4 linked regions of the Bombyx mori genome follow. The main gene of each other region encodes a partner of the protein of the gene in region 4 in a complex. Links are inferred from orthologs where the notes say so. Each region holds a gene or a part of one and is shown on either strand. Other genes may lie near its edges. The genes, in order: DNA-directed RNA polymerases I, II, and III subunit RPABC4; general transcription factor IIF subunit 1; general transcription factor IIH subunit 5; general transcription factor IIF subunit 2.

Region 1 (5,074 bases), on a different chromosome or scaffold from region 4:
AAAGTTGACTTAGAGGAATGTGTGAAAAATTAAATTTGATATTAATGTCGTGAGTCCTAACAATTATTTATTGATAGTTTTTATGGATCGAAAAAAAATGTATATTTGTGGCTATTGTAAAATTTTAGACATACATTTTCTGGTGTTTTATTATGAGAGGTAATAATTTTAATAAATTGTTAAAACTTTATAATGATGAAGTTACATAATTAAAATACACTGAGATATTTCCCTTTTGTTTTTTTTATTAGTTGTTATTATTTAACGGAAGTTTTACGAAAGTACTCCATATTGACACTTTGCGTCTGGCGCCACTAGCGGTGTCGTGTGCAAAACTGGCCAACGGTCACACGTAAATGCCGCCACCCATGTTTACGATTAAAGGAATAACATCGTGTAATGAAAATCAAACCCGCAAAATTATAATTTGCGTAATTACTGGTGGTAGGACCTCTTGTGAGACCGCGCGGGTAGGTACCACCGCCCTGCTTATTTCTGCCGTGAAGCAGTAATGCGTTTCGGTTTGAAGGGTGAAGCAGCCGTTGTAATTATACTTGAGACCTTAGAACTTTATCTCAAGGTGGGTGGCGCATTTACGTTGTAGATGTCTATGGGCTCCAGTAACCACTTAACACCTGGTGGGCTGTGAGCTCATTCACCCATCGAAGCAATAAAAAAAAAAGATAATGAACTCATTTGATATCTATCTATAAAGTTACATATTTTTCTTGCACTTAAGTCTTTTTTTTTTAAGGCAGTAGTTCATTTAGAAACATCAAATAAGTTGATTGATACTTCAAATCATTCAGATTACTTATATCTATTGGGTACAATTTAGAACACATATATCATGGCGGTAGGTGGCATTCATGTTTTAATGTCTATGGGCTACCACCAGTATATAATGTAAAGTGATGATGTAGATCTATAAATCTACTATAAAAAAACTACCTTGTATATATTTTTTTTCATTGGTCAGTATTATTAGAGCATAGACAAAGTAACAAAAATACACATTAACCTTATTATAAATTTATTTCACTCTTCTGTGCATGATGTATCCACCGAACTTATCTTCTAGGGTTTTGTTTCCAGAATTCGTTTACCGAGCGTCAAACACAACCACTGAATTCTTACTTAAGGAAAATTTTTCAGAATATTACGAACAAAAATATGATGAATTTAAAATCAACACAAACTACAAAAAGGGTAATTTTCTGAAGATTTTAACAGATATGAGTCGTCTATTATCAAAGGTGGCAATCTGTACATTTGGACAATTTTTTTTTATTGATATGTCAATACAGATTTATTTGAATATAATCGTCTCCTTCAAAGAATACGGTTCAAAACCTGCATTAAATAAAGGTTAATAGTTAACCTGTTATTTATCTAAGATGTCGTTCCGAAGAGTTTTGTGACTGCCAATGGAATACAAAGTCAATAATTCGTTTTTCTGATTTACCAATCATTGTCCAAAAGTCAGATTGCCGCCTTTGATAATAGTCGACTCATTTATTACATTTATTTTCTTGCAAGCTCAATGTGATCTAAAGGATAAAACAGATGGTGTAGTTGTGTCAAGCTGTGCAACCATGCAAATGTGCAAATTGCATATACCAATATCCAAAGAAATATACTCTCGAAATGTGATCACGAATCACTTCCACAATGAAGGAATTAAATATGGGTGATACCTGTCAATACCTTTCTACTGATTAAAATCACTAGGCTGTATCCTAGTCCTATAATCTTTACTTTAAGAATATATTTATAGAATCAAAAGGATACGTCTTTTTGTTCTTTTCTTGTACATTATTCTGTAACCACATTCTCTGCACCTAATAGGATCTCTTGGTTTGATTTCATTCTCTTTGTGACATTCTGAAAATGATAATGAAAGCATCATTTGTTTTGCAGACCCATATTATAGTTTCAGGATTGCATTTATTAAAGAAACCAACATTTAAACAGTTGAAGTAGATGATCGGCAAAAACAATAATGTAGAAAAGGGCAAACAATATAATTTACTCTCAATTGAATCAATTTCATTTTTCTAATACTTTTAAGTTTAGGTTTTTTAAATTTTAATATTAATATTAACAAGTTTTATTAAAAGCACTTAAGCTTTTACGGCTTTTAGCTTTACTAAAGAACATTTATATTTATACAGATGCATTCCCCATTTGAAATATAGTAAAACAATAACACATTAAACAAAACGCCTTAATTTATACAATGTTATAAGACAGTGTGAATAATTTTATAATCTACTATACACAAAAGACAAATTAACTGATTTATTAATTCTTTGTTTAGTAGACATTGACAAGCTTAGTGTTATCGGTAAGAACATTTTAAAAGTAGTTTCTTTCTTTTTTCTATAAAAAATGTTCATAAATCAAGAGAAAAAGAAATACAAAAAAAATATTCAATTATTGGGGTATGCTGATACCTAACAATTATTAGGTTATTTTGTGTTAGTGTTTTACAAAGTGATAGAAGTTTTGTTATTATTTGGTTACACTGTACCTCCACAAACATATATCATTGGCACTTTAGTAACTGATTGCTCTTTCCCAGTTGTGTCAGCCATTATGTGCTAAAATAGAGAAAAATTAAATAATAATAAAAAATGTGTTTTATTTTAAATCACCAATTTGATTTAAGCTTTATATTAAGTGTATAATCTATGCTTTGGATTGTTATTTTGTGTGTAGAATCTATGGTTTTTGGATTTGTTTAATTAAGCCGCAAAGGGAACTTAAACCATAAAACGTTTTGTTCAAAAGAGGGCTTGTCTTGTTGAAGAAAAAAATACGTAAAAAAAGGAGTGGAAATTTAAAAGAAAAAATCATCGGGACATTGGAGGGGAACCGAGGATTATTTTTAATTATTTGTTCGTCGTTTGATCGTCAATGTTTGAATGTAAAATTATCTGTTCGTCTTTTATTTATTTATAATTAATTAAACAAATGATCACCCTTCAGTTGGCCCCTCTTACTAGATATCTTTGTTTTTATTGCTCAGATTAATTAATTTTGATCAATTATTGTTTGTTCGACGACTATTGGTGATTGTTCGATCATAAAAACAAGTAAATTCGAAATTATTAATTATTTTATATCTAATAAGCAAATTATCACCTCACGCCTACATTGCGCATGCGCCGGTTTTGTCAGTCAGATGGCAATGGCCGACGGCCGTATTTACTACCTTTTTGTTACGCGCGAACATTAACGAACAAACGACGAACAAATAATTAAAAATTAAAAAAATCGAAAATTAAAAAAGGGGACCAAATTCAGTGAGCCGTAAAGCAAATAAATGGCATATTTTTTTACATTTTATTTATGGATTGAGTTAGCTAATCTGTGCATTAAGCTCCCAAACATAGAAAAACAGACTTTTTGGCGGGAACGCGAGGAGTGATATTGTGTGATTTGTTATATTTTGTCTATTTAGTGTTTCTTCGGGTTTAAATGTGTAATAATGGTGGTTTATTAGCAGTTTAATATCTGTGAAAGTGCACAAATGTGGGAAAATGGAACAAAGCCGCTGGACGTAACTTCTCGGGATCCTCCAAAAAGTCCACTGAAAAATCTTAGTAAATGACCACCATTTTACTGAGATTATATTTCATCCCATATTTTCTCATTTCATTTCGTTTTCATTTCATTTCATGCCATGTTTCACAATAATCAACTTCATTTCATTTAATAATATCATTTTTCATATAAAAAAGTTATCATTAAAATTAAAATAAGACTTGACCTAAAGGTCTTAGTTACCAGGTCATAAAATCCCTTAAAAAAACAAACATAGTAAACAAAGAAATAAATATTTTTTCATTTTTTTCCCTACCTGCACCTGCCTATTCGCTTAATACTCGGCAAACTTCTTGAGCATTAGTTGACGTAGTGGGGGTAAGTTCGCGCATCGTACAATTACGTACAAAAATGTTAAGTTATTAAAAACAACATAATATGTATTTATTTATATATTTATTAGTACATGAACAAAAAATACAGGTTAATAATTGTAGTAATTTAATCTAGGGGTAAAATAGATATTCCTTCCATTAGGTCAAAACTAGGAGCTGGTGCCAGGTCTTGGATCAGCTGAAGCTGAGCTGGTATTTTTAATTGTTTTTTCGCTATCATAATCATGACCATCATCATCATCATCACTACTTTCTTCATCCGTGTCGCAATCATCGTCAGCAAAAATTACAAACTCATCAGTGACTAAATCTACCACATGATCACTTTTTACATACTCCGCCTCAATATCTTTTATCTTTTGACATATTCTACCCCATTCCGGAGCACCCATCACCGCGACCTTTTCCTTCACTAGCTCTATTACTTTGCCAGTGCTCCAGTCGACATTTTTGCTACTGACATACCCTTTAATAGCTGCCCAAGCCATTTCAATTGGGTTGAGGTCTGGATGGTATGGAGGTAAGCGAAGCACTGAATGGTTGTGGTTTGATAAAATTTTATCAATGCTGTATGTTTTGTGTTGTTCCTTATGTGCTTTAATCAAGCTAAAAAGCTGGGGTTTCAACATGTTTTCATCGTATGGAATTTCTTTTTCTTGTAACCATTTCTTCATATAGACTTTTTTGGCATTGGCAGTTGGAGCGGGGTCAGACTGTTTATAGTGATATGACGCATTGTTGACTACTACAACGGAATTTGGTGGCAGATTTGGTAGCAATTGACAACGCAGCCATTTTTCGTAGTTCAAATAGTTCATGTTATCGTGGTAGTCACCAGATTTTGTGCCAGCTTTAAACAAAAGAAGGGCATTGGGAACAAATCCATCTTCGGAGCCAGCATGCACTATTACTACACGCTGTCCTTTCGAAATTGGTTTTTTTAAACCCCCAGTTGATCCATCTGACCACGACATACCACTTGCATGTGATGAGTCGACATAGGACTCATCGGTGTACACTATCGGTCTTCCTTCTTGCCTATATTTAATTATTTTTTGGAGATATTCGATCCTTAGTAGTCGAATATTACTTTTTTCAATTAATAGCTTCCGATTATTTTCTGTTCTTTT
Region 2 (5,283 bases), on a different chromosome or scaffold from region 4:
CGAACTTTTATGACCAATACATTGGAAATCCGTTAACTAGTTCTGCTACCCCTAAAATTATAAAGTTCAGCTGACAGACTGACCTTTACCCTTTTTCTTCTTTTTGGCCCCGGAGTCACTGTCCTCTTCCTTTTCTTTTTCACCAGCACCGGAGTCCGAGGAAGCGTCGTCGGAGTCTATCCATTCGTCCATCTCGGATATCTTGAGGTCTATGAAACGTTTTCCTGATTAGACAGGCAGAGTTACGGTTCTCGGGCACGATGATGACACGATAGTTGTAAGACTGGTGGTAGGACCTCTCGTGAGTCTGCACGGGTAGATACCACCACCCTGCCTATTTCTGACGTGAAGCAGTAATGCATTTCGGTTTGAAAGGTGGGGCAGCCCTTGTAACCATACTGAGATCTTAGAACTTATATCTCAAGGTGGGTGGCGCATTTAGGTTGTAGATGTCTATGGGCTCCAGTAACCACTTAACACCAGTTGGGCTGTAAGCTCGTTCACCCATTTAAGCAATAAAAAATAAATAAATAAACGAGCGTAATTTTGTGAGTTGTCAGTTGCGTAATGCGTGCGGACTCACAAAAGGTCCTACCACCAGTAAAAACCTTTTGACCTCACCCTTAATAGCGAAGCCCTTGCCCGCAGTGGCTTTAGTAATGTAATGCTATAAGCACAGCATACCAGTACGAAGTCCAGCTGACGATGTTAGAAACCAACTACGCTTTAAGTGCTTGCTTTATTTTACCATAAGACCTACCATCACCAGCTTCAGCTGACCCCACCTCTGGCTTTGAATACCGGAAACTGAGTACCTTTTTTAGCTTTCCCTTTAGCTTTCTTTTCGTCTGGGTCCTCTTCGTCTGCATCGTCGACTCCGCGGAGCCGTTTCCGTAACATCAACGAGAAGAAATTCATAACCTTGTTACGCCTAGTGCAGAAAAAAATCGATCATCGACTTCAATGAAACATATTTTGAAATGTCACTAGAAACAGCAATGGATTCGGTCCAACCATCTTTCTCATATACTATATACGGGGCGACGGAGACCAAAAAGCAATAAATTTTCAAATAATTCAAACAATAAAGTTATTGTAATCATTCTCGTATATCTTTAATGTACAAAAAATAAACTTTTTTTTTCAAATTATTAGTTTTATAACAATAGTCTGTTGCCCTGAAACAGAGATGTAATAAAGTGTTTTGTCTTTTTTCTATTTAGATAAAGCATAAGTACTCAATTCTTCAAATATGCAGACAACAATAAAAAAATATATTTTAATTTTAAGTTCAACTATCTATTATGATCTGGTTTTTTTTTTCCTATATTATATTTATCGTTACATGCAGTGCGAAAAACAATCATTTAAGCTCTAGATCATTATCGTCAAAGGATTTAGGATAATTACAAAGCACCTTCATTTTCGGGAATGACAGTCTGTATAAAATATGAGTAAATGATTTACAAGTAATTTTACTGGTGGTAGGACCTCTTGTGAGTCCGCGCGGGTGGGTACCACCACCCTGACTATTTCTGCCGTGAAGCAGTAATGCGTTTCGGTTTGAAGGGTGGGGCAGCCATTGTAACTATACTTGAGACCTTAGAACTTATATCTCAAGGTCGGTGGTTACGTTGTGGATGTCTATGGGCTCCAGTAACCAATTAACACCAGGTGGGCTGTGAGCTCGTCCACCCATCTAAGCAAATAAAAAAAAATAAAAAAAATGTCATGGACCATCTTACCTGCCAAATTCCTGTTCGGCTTCTTCAGCTGACAGCGCTTTGTATCTCTGAATCGGTTGGAAATTGTACCTGTTAGAATTCAGTTTTTAGTTTCTTAAGAATTAACTACCTTCATTTTTCTACTATATTTGAGCAATTAAAAAAGAACATTAATAACACAAAATAATAATAAAGGAACAGAGATTCACACACAGCATTCAGATTATTTTTAAATAAAATAGAAGCATTTCTTTCATGTTTTGTAAATATTGCATGAACATTCCGTACCATTCCTGGAGTGGATAGGCGTCTATTGCGCCATCCGCTGCGTGAGTGAACACATAATATGCAGCATTCTCTGATACTCCACCTTCACGAATACCTTTGAATCTAAAAATATGATAATACATGATATGAAAATTACCAGTTACATATTAATTAGTATTATATAGAGCAAGCAAATAGGCATAACCACACGTTAGTCTATAACACAAGACTTTTCATTTAATTATATGCAGTTTTTCATCCTGTTTTCAATCATTGACTTTTAATGAAAAAGGAAGAAGTTCTGATTTAATTTTATTTATTTTATTTTTATCTTCGAACTTTTTCTAGGTTAAACGATTCTGATAAATCTTTTGTTGTGTAAAAATTGTTCCAACTCATGTGAAATTAAATTATTTCTTGTGCATTTGTTGTAAAGGAACCACCAAACAATATCAGAAGAGGTTATTGTTATTTGTTAATTACTAACTTCTTGCCGGTCTTTCCACCGACTTTCAGGATCCACGGCTGGTCTTCCGGTTTGTACTTTCTTGATATTATACCGAATTTCTTGCGACGTGCTTCCTCACGCATGTCCCGTCCGTATTCCGAGCCTGCACCAAATCTGGATTTGTGTGACGAGTATTACCAAAAATATTACGTAATAGTAGTAGTATTTTAATTCCCAAGTATTCAATAATCTTGGAGCTGTTAAGATCACTTTTTATAAAGGGTGTTCATGGCAAATCTATTTTTTAAAGCATTGAGTAAATAACCTTAATTTAAGGTGTGTCAGTCTTTAGTGTCAACAATGTTAACCAACCGGTTTCCAGTTTTTGACTATTCTTTGTATTATTATCTGCTAGCATGCAAATTTTTTGAGTTACAGAATTAACTTAATATTAAATAATTATGCCATAAAATTATGACATACTTTTCACATTTATTTTTAATGATGTAGAAAATTAATTTATGATTATTAAGTCAATCTATTTGATATCACCATCAAAGAGTTGAATTTTCTTAATACTAACTTGGGCATTTCCTCTTCAGCTCCTTTGAATTCTTTGCTGTTGTTCTCTCGCTCCATCTTGACATGAGTCCATTTTGCAAAATCTACATTCAATGTGGCATTGAACCTCATAACATGATACTTCTTCTTTACATTCTTTGGCACTCTTATTTTATACTCCTGTACTGTGGCGGCCGGTGTCTGAGAAATTAATTTATTATATCTGTGAAATCGTAACTATTGTTTAAATGATTACGATACCATTCTATGTATGATTTGGTAAAATTTATCAAATTTGGTTATATTATCCTTTTATGTACCTACTTACTTCAGTAAGAACACATATTCTTGCATATTAATTTAATATTATTTTGAACCTCACAATTTGTTGATTGTTTTAAGTTCTTAAACGAAAAAGGTGAAATATCGTATCACGATATTTCACCTTTTTCGTTTAAGAACGAATAATATCTTACCGTACTACTTCCAGGTGTAGACATTTTTTACACTTATATCTATAATATCAAGATTAATGACGGTATATAAATTTATCAAATGACAATAGTCCTCGATATCATGATCTCACTAACGTACACGTTAAATTTCTTCAAATCAAATAATTTATTACGTTACAGTTTACTCTTTGATTAAAAATATTGTAATCAATTAAAACAATGCTAATCGCAAACTGTGCTGGCAAAATGAAAATTCTGTCAAATTAATGTCAAAAGTCAAAATTTCATCAAGCACAGAGCACATTTCAGTCTGTCAATGAATTTATGATCATAAGTATCAAGTCATATATGACTAAATAATATTATCATTTAACTATGCTCATGACTTCTATTATTTTAATAAACATGCAATAGTCATTAGGATTTAAAACATTTTTTTCATACGTGACGAAAAAGCAATCTTATCAAATGTTTACAGCAGCTTAGCATATTGTCGTCCAGCATTAGAAATTACCCACAAGGTTAGTCACCTCCTCTTTGCGTCGATAATCCACAACAATGAGGGTCATGGCGTCCCATAATAATTTCGCTTGGACTATCCTGCGCCAACATTGCCTATCCTTGACTTTCCGGAGGGCATCGTGGACTGAGGTGTTGAGAGTAGAGGCAGCTAGTGCAATCATAGCATTGGACTTCTGCTTCTGAACCTTCTTCCGCATACTTTGCCTGTTACCAGCAATTATTCTAAATTGTCATCTTCTTTCTGACAATGTGTCCAAAGAACTCAAAATTTGAACGGAATCTTGAACTCAGTAAGAATGTATTTGTAGGATCAAATGTTCTATCAAGCCCTTCCATCCTAAAAGTTATAATCATAAAACAGATATGGCTTTGATTATTTTGGCTGTATTCCCATTGCCAATGAAAAAAGAAAAAAAAAACTGTTTACAATAATAATCACAATACTTAAAAATCTGTTTCATAAAATATTTAGAAATTTAAGTTAATTTATTTTTCATTAAAATGGGTAAAAAGAAAAATAAGAATAAAGTTAGTGGCGCTGTTAAAACCGCAGCAAAAACTGAAAAAAAGCTAGCTAGCAAATTAAAAAAAGAACTCGCAAATCTTGGTGAGGTTAGACCATGCCTTTTCGCACTATTTATTAGAAACTCTCAAAAAGTTACCTGAAATTACGCCCTAATGGATCTAATATAGTAGTATAAACTTAAATGTTATTGAAACTAACTTACTAAAATTATTTAAATGGGTAAATTTTGTAAAAGTCATGAAAAACATAAAATTAAATAATTCGAAATAATTTATATTTTTATGATTTAATCTAGCTTTAATTATTTGGAGATAATATAATAACAAAAACTACTTCTATGATATGACGTAAATGATAATAAAAGTCATTTTGTCACTAAACTAAAGCTGAAGAAAGAGCAAGTAAAATTTTAATAGAAGTTTTGTATTATGTATATTTCAGGAAGATATAGCTAAAGTGATAGCTGAGATAGAACGGGAGGAAGCTAAACGATATGCTGCATCAGAGAAGGTCCTCGAAAAGCCACCATCCTCCAGAGCGTACGCAACGCTCACCCCACATCCAATCAATAATGAGCTTGTGCTGTTTGGTGGAGAATACCACAACGGACAAAAGGTATCAATTTCATTTTTAGAGATATTACAATATTAGGTAAAGTATCATGATGGATAAAGAAAATACATAAATTGGTGTATCTGTAATTTTATAGTCCATCCAGTGTTAAGTTATTACTGAATTTAGACATTACAACATGAATAGCATTACTAACTGAGACATCAA
Region 3 (5,285 bases), on a different chromosome or scaffold from region 4:
GAATCAATTGTCAGTATAAACGCGACGAAGTAGGACGTGTCGTGTGTGTGTGAATGGCCCCAGTATTATCTAAACAACAAAAAATTGGTCTAGGCGCAGACCTCGCTGTCGGCTCAATTGAAAAAAAAAAAAAATGAAGAGTATGGGCGAAGAAATATATATTGCTGCGCGGAAAGTTAGCAAATATGAACATTATGAGTGATTTATCTATCCGATGATATGTAGGAGAAGTAAAATGTCCCTTAGAAATAAGGTGACACTCTACAAAACTTGCATACGCCCCGTCATGACCTATGCAAGTGTAGTGTTCGCTCACGCGGCCCGCATACACTTGAAATCATTCCAAGTCATTCAATCCCGTTTTTGCAGGATAGCCGTCGGAGCCCCGTGGTTCGTCAGGAACGTCGACCTCCATGACGACCTGGACTTCGAGTCCACCAGTAAGTATATGCAGTCGGCGTCAATGCGCCACTTCGATAAAGCGGCACGACACGAGAACCCTCTCATCGTGGCCGCCGGTAACTACATTCCCGATCCTGCGGACAGAATGGAAAGCAGTCGACGTCGCCCAAAACACGTCATCTCGGATCCTCCCGATCCACTAACGGTGCTTTTAGGTACTTCAAGCACCGGTCACCGTTCTCGTCGAACCCGTCGCTTGCGACGAAGGGCTCGACGAGTAAATTAACTCTTAGACACAGCCCACTGAGTTTCTCGCCGGATCTTCTCAGTGGGTCGCGTTTCCGATCCGGTGGTAGATTCTGCGAAGCACGGCTCTTGCTAGGGTTCGTGTTAGCAACATCGTCAGGTTTGAGCCCCGTGAGCTCACCTACAAAAGTTAGGGTTACGCTGATATAGCCTCTCAAGGCTCTCAGCTTAGGCAGGAAAAAAAAAAAAAAAAAAAAAAAAAAAAAAGAATGATTTAGAACCAGCAGACTTCAGAAATGATCTACGAATGGATTCGAGGTCGTTTGACCAAATATTAAGCCTTGTGGCACAATTTTTTTCAAAAGCAGGATACTATCCTACGATACTACTATAGTCTATTATATATCTATATTATATAACTATTACATATCTAATCCTACGATAGTATAAGTCCAAAAGAAAGATTGGTTGTAACATTAAGATTTCTTGCAACAGGAAATTCGTATCAAGATTTAATTTTTAGTTCTTTATAATATCCCAACCCCTTCTGACAAAAATTATCCCTGAAACAAGTTGGGCTATTTATAAATGTTTGGCACATTTAATAAAGGTGAGCGAAATAAATACTTTTTATTCGGAAGTAAAAAACAAACTAAGCCGTCCTTACGCACGGAGAGCTATGGGACGACTGAAATCATTAAGTAACTAAATGCGATTACACCTTCTTATATGCGTTTCTAATTAGGCTTCTAAATGATTTAGTCAGTCAGAAACCATCCTTGCTACTGAATTTAGCAGGTTAACTTACTGAATGCTATTACACCGACTAAATTTAGCAAAGTGTAATGAGCCTTCCACACTTACCCATAAATAATAGATATTAAGTGTATAGTCTATGAATAATAGTTTATAATAGTAATAGTATTCTGTATAACCTATGGTATCTACTGAAAGTAGGGAGTAAATAGGTACCTACATACTTTATTTACAATTAATTATTACATAAAGTGACAAGTTCTAAAACAATGAACCATGGTGAATGTAATGAAAGGTGTCCTCGTTGAATGGTATTTATTATTTTTATTTCTCACAAATATTACTTTTACATATGCAAACTTACAGATAAAGTTAGAATCGTTACAATGTGCTTTAATGATTTGAATTTTAAATTACATCAGTTAATCAATTTACTACGTACAATATATTAACTTGCCAAAGAATTTCTTCTTTGGTTTTTCCCATACTTAAATTTAATGTTCTGGGCCTAGGTTATGAGGAATGCCTTGTATATAAAACTTCATTCAATGTAATCCATATCTTTAGGTATGTTAAAATTTTCTTCTAGTGCATCAATATCTATTTGAAAACTATTTTTTATATAAGATTTCAATATATATACATTTTCTGTCCATCTGTTGCTGGCTGTTTTCAATTCCTACAAAATGAAACATTTTTAATCCAATATTATTATTTGATAATATTATAGTTATGTCTTTGGTTATACATACTACCACCTACAGAAAGCTATTTATCAAAACATAGTATTTTTTTAAATGTACTTTGTTTTCCTTATTTTTAAATAATGAATACAATGCTTAATTAATATACTGATAAGTTATATTGAGTAATATTACCCACCAAATAATAAAATATATATTTTCTAGCATGAAATAGACATGTTAGACTTAAAAGTCATTACCAGTTGTAAGCTCATACAGTTTTGTCATTCTGCCTACATCTGCCAAAAAAAATATACACATTCCAGTTTGATCAGTTCACTTGGCCTTTATGAAATATAATAGTAACTGATCTAATGTGTGCAATATTAAAGTGGGTAGCAGAAGTCACATTGTGATACCTATCAACTTCAGTAACTTACTTAACACTTCAGAAACACTAAATACTATACTACTATAGAAAGGCCATGAACTGATTCATCAATTACTAAATCCTTAAACTTGGGACATTGGCCTTATCTATTGCGCTCACAGTGGGGCGCTAATATGAGCTTGAATGGAATATAGACCTTAAGACATCATCTCATCTACATTAATATAAGAATTGGATTTACAGTTATTTCACGTCTCAGTTGTGCAATATATTCAGGATCAGATTCTCTGTATTTTTGTAATTCTCTCTTATATGAAGCCTCTTGCTTTTGAAGATCTTCTAAAGATGATAATATTTTTATTCTTTCTTCAGATATCTCTCTGCCTTTCTAATATTAAAGTCAATTAATAAATATATCAGTCTCTGATAAATATAGAATAGAATTAAGTTTCATTATAACTCTATAGACTATACTATACTAAGTAAAAAACTATAAATATTCTGACCGATTCTGCTATAAGGACTTCCTCAGTTTTCTTTAACTTCTTCGTACATTCATCAAATTCATTCTGGAGTTCTTGTAGCTTCCTCTTCTTGGTACTTTTTGCTTTGCTACAAGTAATTTATTTAATGTTTGCATGGCATTACCACAGCTTGCTTGATTTGAAAAATAATTTTGCAGTCATAAATTTTTAAAAAGCACAATTGTTTACTCTTAATTTCTCATAGCATCAGTGTGTAAAGTCCATGTAAATTTTATTATTCAAAATAATAAAACTAGTCTTAGTCAATGACTGACTCGGTGGTGCAAAAGTTGGCACCCCTGACTGCCGAAAGTTGTGGATTCGATTCCCATATTGGGCAAAAATTTATTCATTCAGCTTTACTGCTTACATGAGTCCACCTGGTTTTACATGGTAACCGAAGCCCATAGACATTACAACATAAATGCTGCCACCTGCCTTGAGACAAGATTTCTAAGGTCTCAGTTGTAACAGCATGATGACCTAACACCCTTCAAACCGAAATAAATAACTGCTTAATGGCAGAAATAGGCCAGATTTGACGCCAGATGATAATGTACTGTTCTGTTCCCAGTTATTTAGTTAGTTGTTTAACATAGTACCTTGGGAAAGACCAAAAGTACACTGAAGTCCCAATTTTTTCAGAATCAACCAGGTGATCATCAATTAGACTCTGAATCACTTCTTTAACTGATTGCATTGTAATACCCTTTTCTTTTGGTGCTATTTTTTCTAGTTCCTGTAAAAGTTAAAATATAAAATATTATCTTAATAGATTTTGTTATGGCCACTTCTGTTTTATGTGCTGTCTAAACATTTTCTTTTGAACTAATTATTGACTATTTGGTGACTCAACTAACATGATCACCAACAAATAAGAAATTGGACTCCTACCAAGTAAGTCAAATGATGAGTAAACATTCGTGAAAACTTCATTTATTATTACTTTGCTCTCAATTAATTAAAAAACGACCTTGCATTGCTAGTAAGTAAGAAACTCCAGACACTATTTCACACTGTCTCATTTATCCTAAATAAGAGATATATTTTATTGCTTAGTTGAGTGGAAGAGCTTAATACCCACCCCTGGTGTATGTGATTAGGTTACTGGAGTCAACAGACATCACAATGTATGTGCCACCCATCAGTATTATCAGATTTCATTAATTATTTATTGTGAAAGTCATTTATAAACATGTTTAATTACAAAGTTCATTACTAAAATTGGCACCTAACCGCTGGGTTTAAACATTGCTATAATAATACTGTTTAATATGAGTACATCTGGCATCTTATCGTTTAGGGCAGAGTGACATCGAAAGCTATGTATGAAGTTGTAATTTAATGAGGTTACCTTTAATTGAAAAAAATCTTGACTTTGATGGAATATTTCAAGCATTCTGGTCTTCTTTTCATCAGCACTAAGACCTCGTTTCTTGGACATTTTCAGTGATCCGGCAATGAAACAATTCTTACTACACTTGGATGAAACTCTTGCACTTGGTAGAAAGTTTATTCTTCAAGACCTGGATGAAACACACTTGTTCATATCAGCTGATATTGTGGAGACTCTACAAGCTCGCGTTGACGATTTAATGGACCAGCTCAGCATACCCGTGCACGATAAAGGATTATAAATTACGAGGTAAATATTCAAACATATTTGTATAATATATGGTGATAGAGATCCGCATTTGTGCGCGAATCGCGAAATTTTACTTCATCATCATCATCATCATCAGCCTTTATCTGCCCACTGCTGGACATAGGCCTTCCCCAATGCCTTCCACATAATGCTTTTTTTTATTAATATTATTAGGTTTATGTATGATTCGATTTTCAATTTTTATAGTTTTACTTCTTATTTAACCTATTTATCCTTATAGTCTTATTTGTAAATAAAAAATATTTATATTAAATAATATTTAAAAAAAGACTAAACAACACGCTTTTATAGAAAATTCAACAAAAAAAAAATTAAAATAAATTATTTATATAAAAGCGTGGGGTGCGCGGTGTCAATAGTTCGAGATATTTTATTGATAGATATGAGTGGAATTTGATAATACCTAAAGCACCCAATGCTTTTTTTTACAATAGATTTATTTATTGTATTGTACAGATGGAGCTAATATTATGAACGTAAGTTAATTACACAAAAACTAGTTGTTCTATAATTAACTATTATAAAAATATATTAAGGATGTCCTTTAATTATGATTAAGACATGTGTAAATTAATGTTAACTCAGAAAACAAGGCTGCTGGAAAATGTTTTAGCATA
Region 4 (5,267 bases):
TTTCGAGTATACACCCAAGATTGATCACATAATATTACAGGTAATAATGAAAAATTCACATTCTTAACACATCTTATAATATAAGTTATTGAAAAATACATAAAAACTTTGCTTCTGTCGAGGATTCTCTGACATCCATATTTATGTATATTTGTATAATTAATACAAATTTCAGTCTATTCAGTATCAGAATTACTGTTCTTATCCTCCTTTGTTTCAACAGGAACATCTTGTTTGTAATGCCTATATTCTGGTTTTAACTCCCACATATTCTTGTGAGGATTTCTTAAATTGTAATTACAGACCTCTTTCAGAATTTCTTTCAAATATACTATTGGCTGTCTGGTGATCTGAAATTACAATAAATAATATACTTAAATCGTTATGTCTATTATTATAATGATTTAATGAAAAAATAATTACATAATTCACTAGGACCTCTTGGGAGTCCACACGGGTAGGTACCACCACCCCGCCTATTTCCGCCGTGAAGCAGTAATGCGTTTCGGTTCGAAGGGTGGGGTAGGCGTTGTAACTATACTGAGACCTTAGAACTTATATCTCGAGGTGGGTGGCGCATTTACGTTGTAGATGTCTATGGGCTCCAGTAACCACTTAACATCAGGTGGGCTGTGAGCTCGTCCATTCATCAAAGCAATAAAAAAAAATGCAATTAGATGTGTTTTTTTTTATGAACATCTAATTTTAAATTCAAAGTCACTACTATTCTCAGTTTCAAAGTATGAACAGTATTATCAAAATTAGAATATAATATATACAGTGAAACAGTTTCTTTTGGCCTTTATTTTTTTTATTAAGACAATGATTAAATTTTTTGCTTAATAATGTGTTAATAATTTTATGTTTAGACAAATATAAAATCATCAGAATAGTATTTATTACCTTTTGAAGATCCTTAATATTGTAATACTGATGTTTCTCAAATGCTGCAAACAGCATATTGAGCACTGCTTCTTTATCATCACGAGCCTTTTTCCCTTCAGCCTTCTTCCTTTCTTGGTAGTCAATCTAAATATTTTACGAAATTTTAATATACAAAATTAAAAAAAGCATGATTAACATAATGAAATGAAATAAACTTAATAGAATACAAAAAGTAAAACAACTTAAGAAATTTTAAAACCTGTTGTTATTCATTGTGTCACTTGTGAAAAGTTTTCTGGTTGGTTTAAGAGCTCATAGAAAGTAAAAATATACAGAGCCATTTGTTTTTATTTACTGATGTTTATAATTTAATTTACTATATAGATGAGTGAAGAACCCCGTGGTCCACCCAGTGTAAAGTGGTTACCTCACTAGTCATCATAACATGAATAGCACCAAAAACCTTGAGAAGTCGAAATCTCAATTCTATTGTATGAGGTTTTCCTTCAAACCAATGTGCTTAGTGTGAACTTTTTAACTTCTCGATCAGAGTTGGAACAGCACCCCAAGAAGCAAACGCAGGGGCGCTATTCCAACTTCATACAAATTTGAGTTATTTTTTAAATATAAATAAATATAAATATAAATATTTACTAACAATCACGCCACGTTAACTGGTCCCGTGCTAAGTTCGTAAAGAACTTGTGTTACAAGTACCAGATAACGGAAATAAATATAATATTTTATTATACACATACATATATTTAATGTACACCCATAACCCTGGAAAGACATTTACATTTATCATACAAATATCTTACCTTGGCGGGATTCGAACCCGCGACCTCCTTGTGTAGTGACCATGTCACTTACCACTACACCAGACGGCCGTTTGATCAAGAAGTTAAAAACTCACACTAAGCACACAATGATTTGCTGTAAACATAAGCAGGAGCAATATCTACACACACCCTACTATCTGTACCAATACCACACATATATGAATGCCCACCCATCTTCAGATAAAAGGTGGAAGTACCTATTGTATTTTATACCAGCTCAAGATGCAAATTTTACAGTCTTGGCCATCCCAAGCTACTAAACATTCCCTATTTACCGTTCCACCATTCCAATTATATCAATCACTACTTATGTCCCATTAATTCCTAACCTATGGAGGACTGTTATCAGATAAGTAGCTATCAATAACTACACAATTTATAATTTTTTATATTGATCAATCATGTTTTTATTTTCGAGTTTGTCTAAATGATAACTTTGCTATACAATGGGAGCAGACATTGCTGCAACCTGTATTTTAATACTTCTAGTAGAATTTATATGAAGCATTTCATTCAACAACATATCCAAAGAGTATTGAACTGCATCTGGAGATCTCAGAGCTCTACACATGCTCTATTTAAAACTTTTTAATCATCTCTAGTTTGACTTCCAATGCAGTCAGGGGCATGTTTTAATGATCAGTTGCTGAAAAATACAGTAAATCAATCCTTTAGATTTCAACAGTAAACATACATTATGTGGATGGTCAGATACTGGTTTGAAGTTCTGAACAATCCTGTCAAGCTGTTGCACTTGTCGCTGAGGCATGGATGCTTTCTTTATTGATTCAGATTTAAGCTTATAGTATGTCACATCATCATTTGGTCTGCATTCCAATTTCTGTACAATCCTACCCTCCATGTAAAGGTTTTCTGTCTCTGGTACTACAGAGTCCGTATTTGTCGCTAAAATGGTTATATTATGAATAAACACGATTAATATAATATCGAACTTTAGACATGAAATTAATTTTATCATTGAGTTCACCAGGACATGTTAGGAGGCGTTAAATATAGATAATTATGAGACTACTTACGGGCAATATGCGAAAATACACCTAGAGATTGAGTATTAACGTTTGAAACATCAAGCTTATGTTCTTTTGGTATGCTTTGTTCACCAGGGTCCTTTAAACATAGCACTGCTTCTGACAAGGATAACTGCACTTTAGCTCTCGTTCCTGGTACTCTGGAGATCTTTAGTTTTCCTACCTCAATGTTTCCAGGAGCTTTTTCCCATTTGTTTGCTATATATTTAGGTACTTTTACCAACCATACTCCTCTACCAGTATTTGATAAGTCCAATTCGGTCATTGTTGTGGAATATAAAATCTATTAGCAGTCGATAGCGGACACTATTTTAACGGCCTTTAAAAGTACTAAAGTCGTAAAGATTTCCTTTAACTATAACTAAATCTTAGAAAATTTACTTGCACTTCCACAAAAGACCTACATAAGTGACAGCTCTCGAAAATATTAAGTGTATAATCTATGGTGACAGCTTAACCACAGATTAATATAATAAATACCGTAAAATGGGGCGATTAGGGATTGAGAGGCGAATCGGGAAAAAACCGGGAAAATCTTGCGACGCACAATATTAGTTTTATATTCGTTGCAAAATCTTCCATTTTTTGTAGTTTAATAGTAGAATGTTGAAAGTTCACAAAAAAACTCTGAATATGCATGATAATAGCTGCTAACTTATAAAAAATCGCGTTTCAAATTAACTTCCTGTGTTGGAAATTATTTTAGTGCTAGAAACTTTGCTCTCTTTTATTTATTTGATAATAATAGAAGACGACTGTGATTTATAAACGTTATTTAGTGTTTGAACCATCATATATATTAAAGGTAAGTCTCAGTTGTTATTGGTTTTAATGTATTTGATAAAATAAAAATACATGTAAAAATCTGTTGTTTTGGGGGATATTAGGGACGTCTTAGGTACAAATAACAACGAAAAAGGGGTCAATTGGGATGAGAATACGTGAAATGGAAACCACCTAAGTATAAATAGGTACAGGTTTGTAGGGTTGTCTATGTAGTTATAACAATATTTTTTAAATTTGTTGGTAAAAATCTGGTTTATTCATGATGTCTTTGTCTAGAACTTTTATTTAAAATTATCAATGTGTTATTTTATTGTTTGGTAAATATATTATCAGTTACGTATTGTTTTCTATTTTTAGATATGCCTCGCGTTTACGTATCAAAGAGTGCAAAGCCTTATAAGAGATATGATCCCTTAATATTAAAAACAGCAATAGAAGCCTATGAAATTGGGAATAAGTCTTTACTTGAAATAGCCAAGCAATTTAATATAAGTAAGTCGATTTTGCACAGACATGTAACAAGAACAATGAAATCTCGAGGTGGACAAAAATGTCTAAGTAATACATTATAAAATATTTAATATTTGTTCAGAGTGGGGGTATTCATCTGATTAATCCATGGAATAACCGACATAACTAATCTCTTAACCCAGATAAAAATATCAGCCCCTAAGTACTTACCAAGACCGAAGAAATATAAACCGTTTATAAGAAAGCTCACTCGTTCGAATTTAGGTGCTTACTCTCCCATATACAGAATCCTTTGGGACTACAATAATGTCCACGGTAGCGTGGTCTCCGTCAATGTTCATTCGGAGTTGTCCGATTGCGCTGAACTAATTTTAAGTGATAAAATAGATGTTTTTTTTAATTGTCTCACAACTTACAGGACAAATCTGTCGTGGATCATTTCCCAAGTAAATATAAATTAATCATAAGTAAATAAAACAAATAAATTAAAACCAAGTAGTGCCAACCCTAGCAAATTTCTCATTTCGTCCCAATTAACCGCAATTTCCGGGTAAATAGGGATTACACCTATTTTTGCATTTTTTGCATAAACTGGAATGCTAGTTGCATAGTTTTAAATTGGATAACAAAGATGCCCCCAAGACTCAATCATTTTGATACTGATATAGAATTATATACATCAACAACTACCTTAAAATTGGTCATAAAGTTGGAAGTTGTCCCTAATCGCCCCATTTTACCGGTACTACGTCACAGGAGCTTTAGGTATATTAACTATTTTGACCCTTACATAGATTTTAAACTTAAAATTTAAAGAATATTAAGAGGAGAATTACTTTTGGCACCTTAGAATTTGTTTAAATTTTGTTAACCCATTATAGAATATAGAGTTACTAAGTGTTTTTTTAAGGGAATTTATGACCTGGTAACTTTAGGTCAAGGTCAGTCGAGGATACTAGGTGAGAGAGAGACATTTATTGTATAATCTATAAATATCACAGATCAAGGAATACACCTCTGAATCGATATCGTCCTTGTCTACTAATAGGTTCCGTAGTTTTTTTTCTAACTAATAGTTGGTAGTCTAAGGGGCTATTCCAATTATCCGCAGACCGGTAGGTGAGCTCACGGGCTCAACCTGCAAAAATTTCTAATACTAACTTTAATAAGATCAACGCTTCGCTGAACCTACTACCAGATTGGGATCGCGACCCTCTGAGAAAATCAGGCGAGA

What was found.
Region 1: general transcription factor IIF subunit 2 (region 4) and DNA-directed RNA polymerases I, II, and III subunit RPABC4 share a complex: the UniProt entries of both Homo sapiens proteins name them as parts of the TBP-based Pol II pre-initiation complex. The link is inferred for Bombyx mori from reciprocal best matches to the Homo sapiens genes GTF2F2 and POLR2K.
Region 2: general transcription factor IIF subunit 2 (region 4) and general transcription factor IIF subunit 1 share a complex: the UniProt entries of both Homo sapiens proteins name them as parts of the TBP-based Pol II pre-initiation complex. The link is inferred for Bombyx mori from reciprocal best matches to the Homo sapiens genes GTF2F2 and GTF2F1.
Region 3: general transcription factor IIF subunit 2 (region 4) and general transcription factor IIH subunit 5 share a complex: the UniProt entries of both Homo sapiens proteins name them as parts of the TBP-based Pol II pre-initiation complex. The link is inferred for Bombyx mori from reciprocal best matches to the Homo sapiens genes GTF2F2 and GTF2H5.

The regions. Positions count from the first base shown.
Region 1 is NC_085111.1:12,248,349-12,253,422, reverse strand, and holds DNA-directed RNA polymerases I, II, and III subunit RPABC4, read right to left. Parts: upstream 2,791-5,074; 5' UTR 2,598-2,790; coding exon 2,534-2,597; intron 1,885-2,533; coding exon 1,792-1,884; intron 1,126-1,791; coding exon 1,103-1,125; 3' UTR 953-1,102; downstream 1-952. Other genes in the region: uncharacterized protein LOC119628526, read right to left, coding at 4,094-4,762. UniProt on the Homo sapiens protein: DNA-dependent RNA polymerase catalyzes the transcription of DNA into RNA using the four ribonucleoside triphosphates as substrates.
Region 2 is NC_085121.1:15,714,140-15,719,422, forward strand, and holds the start of general transcription factor IIF subunit 1, read right to left. Parts: upstream 3,761-5,283; 5' UTR 3,501-3,760; coding exon 3,477-3,500; intron 3,202-3,476; coding exon 3,023-3,201; intron 2,614-3,022; coding exon 2,479-2,613; intron 2,115-2,478; coding exon 2,013-2,114; intron 1,815-2,012; coding exon 1,746-1,814; intron 932-1,745; coding exon 816-931; intron 210-815; coding exon 84-209; intron 1-83. Other genes in the region: kelch domain-containing protein 4, read left to right, coding at 4,479-4,589, 4,945-5,118. UniProt on the Homo sapiens protein: TFIIF is a general transcription initiation factor that binds to RNA polymerase II and helps to recruit it to the initiation complex in collaboration with TFIIB. It promotes transcription elongation.
Region 3 is NC_085109.1:11,979,310-11,984,594, forward strand, and holds the start of general transcription factor IIH subunit 5, read left to right. Parts: upstream 1-1,553; 5' UTR 1,554-1,680; coding exon 1,681-1,715; exon of another isoform or gene 1,716-1,945; coding exon of another isoform or gene 1,946-2,083; intron 2,084-2,719; coding exon of another isoform or gene 2,720-2,866; intron 2,867-2,984; coding exon of another isoform or gene 2,985-3,090; intron 3,091-3,604; coding exon of another isoform or gene 3,605-3,741; intron 3,742-4,356; coding exon of another isoform or gene 4,357-4,446; exon of another isoform or gene 4,447-4,452; coding exon 4,453-4,639; 3' UTR 4,640-4,647; intron 4,648-5,285. Other genes in the region: meiotic nuclear division protein 1 homolog, read right to left, coding at 1,946-2,083, 2,720-2,866, 2,985-3,090, 3,605-3,741, 4,357-4,446. UniProt on the Homo sapiens protein: Component of the general transcription and DNA repair factor IIH (TFIIH) core complex, which is involved in general and transcription-coupled nucleotide excision repair (NER) of damaged DNA and, when complexed to CAK, in RNA transcription by RNA polymerase II.
Region 4 is NC_085110.1:12,711,783-12,717,049, forward strand, and holds general transcription factor IIF subunit 2, read right to left. Parts: upstream 3,234-5,267; 5' UTR 3,042-3,233; coding exon 2,765-3,041; intron 2,634-2,764; coding exon 2,422-2,633; intron 1,030-2,421; coding exon 904-1,029; intron 351-903; coding exon 177-350; 3' UTR 61-176; downstream 1-60. UniProt on the Homo sapiens protein: TFIIF is a general transcription initiation factor that binds to RNA polymerase II and helps to recruit it to the initiation complex in collaboration with TFIIB.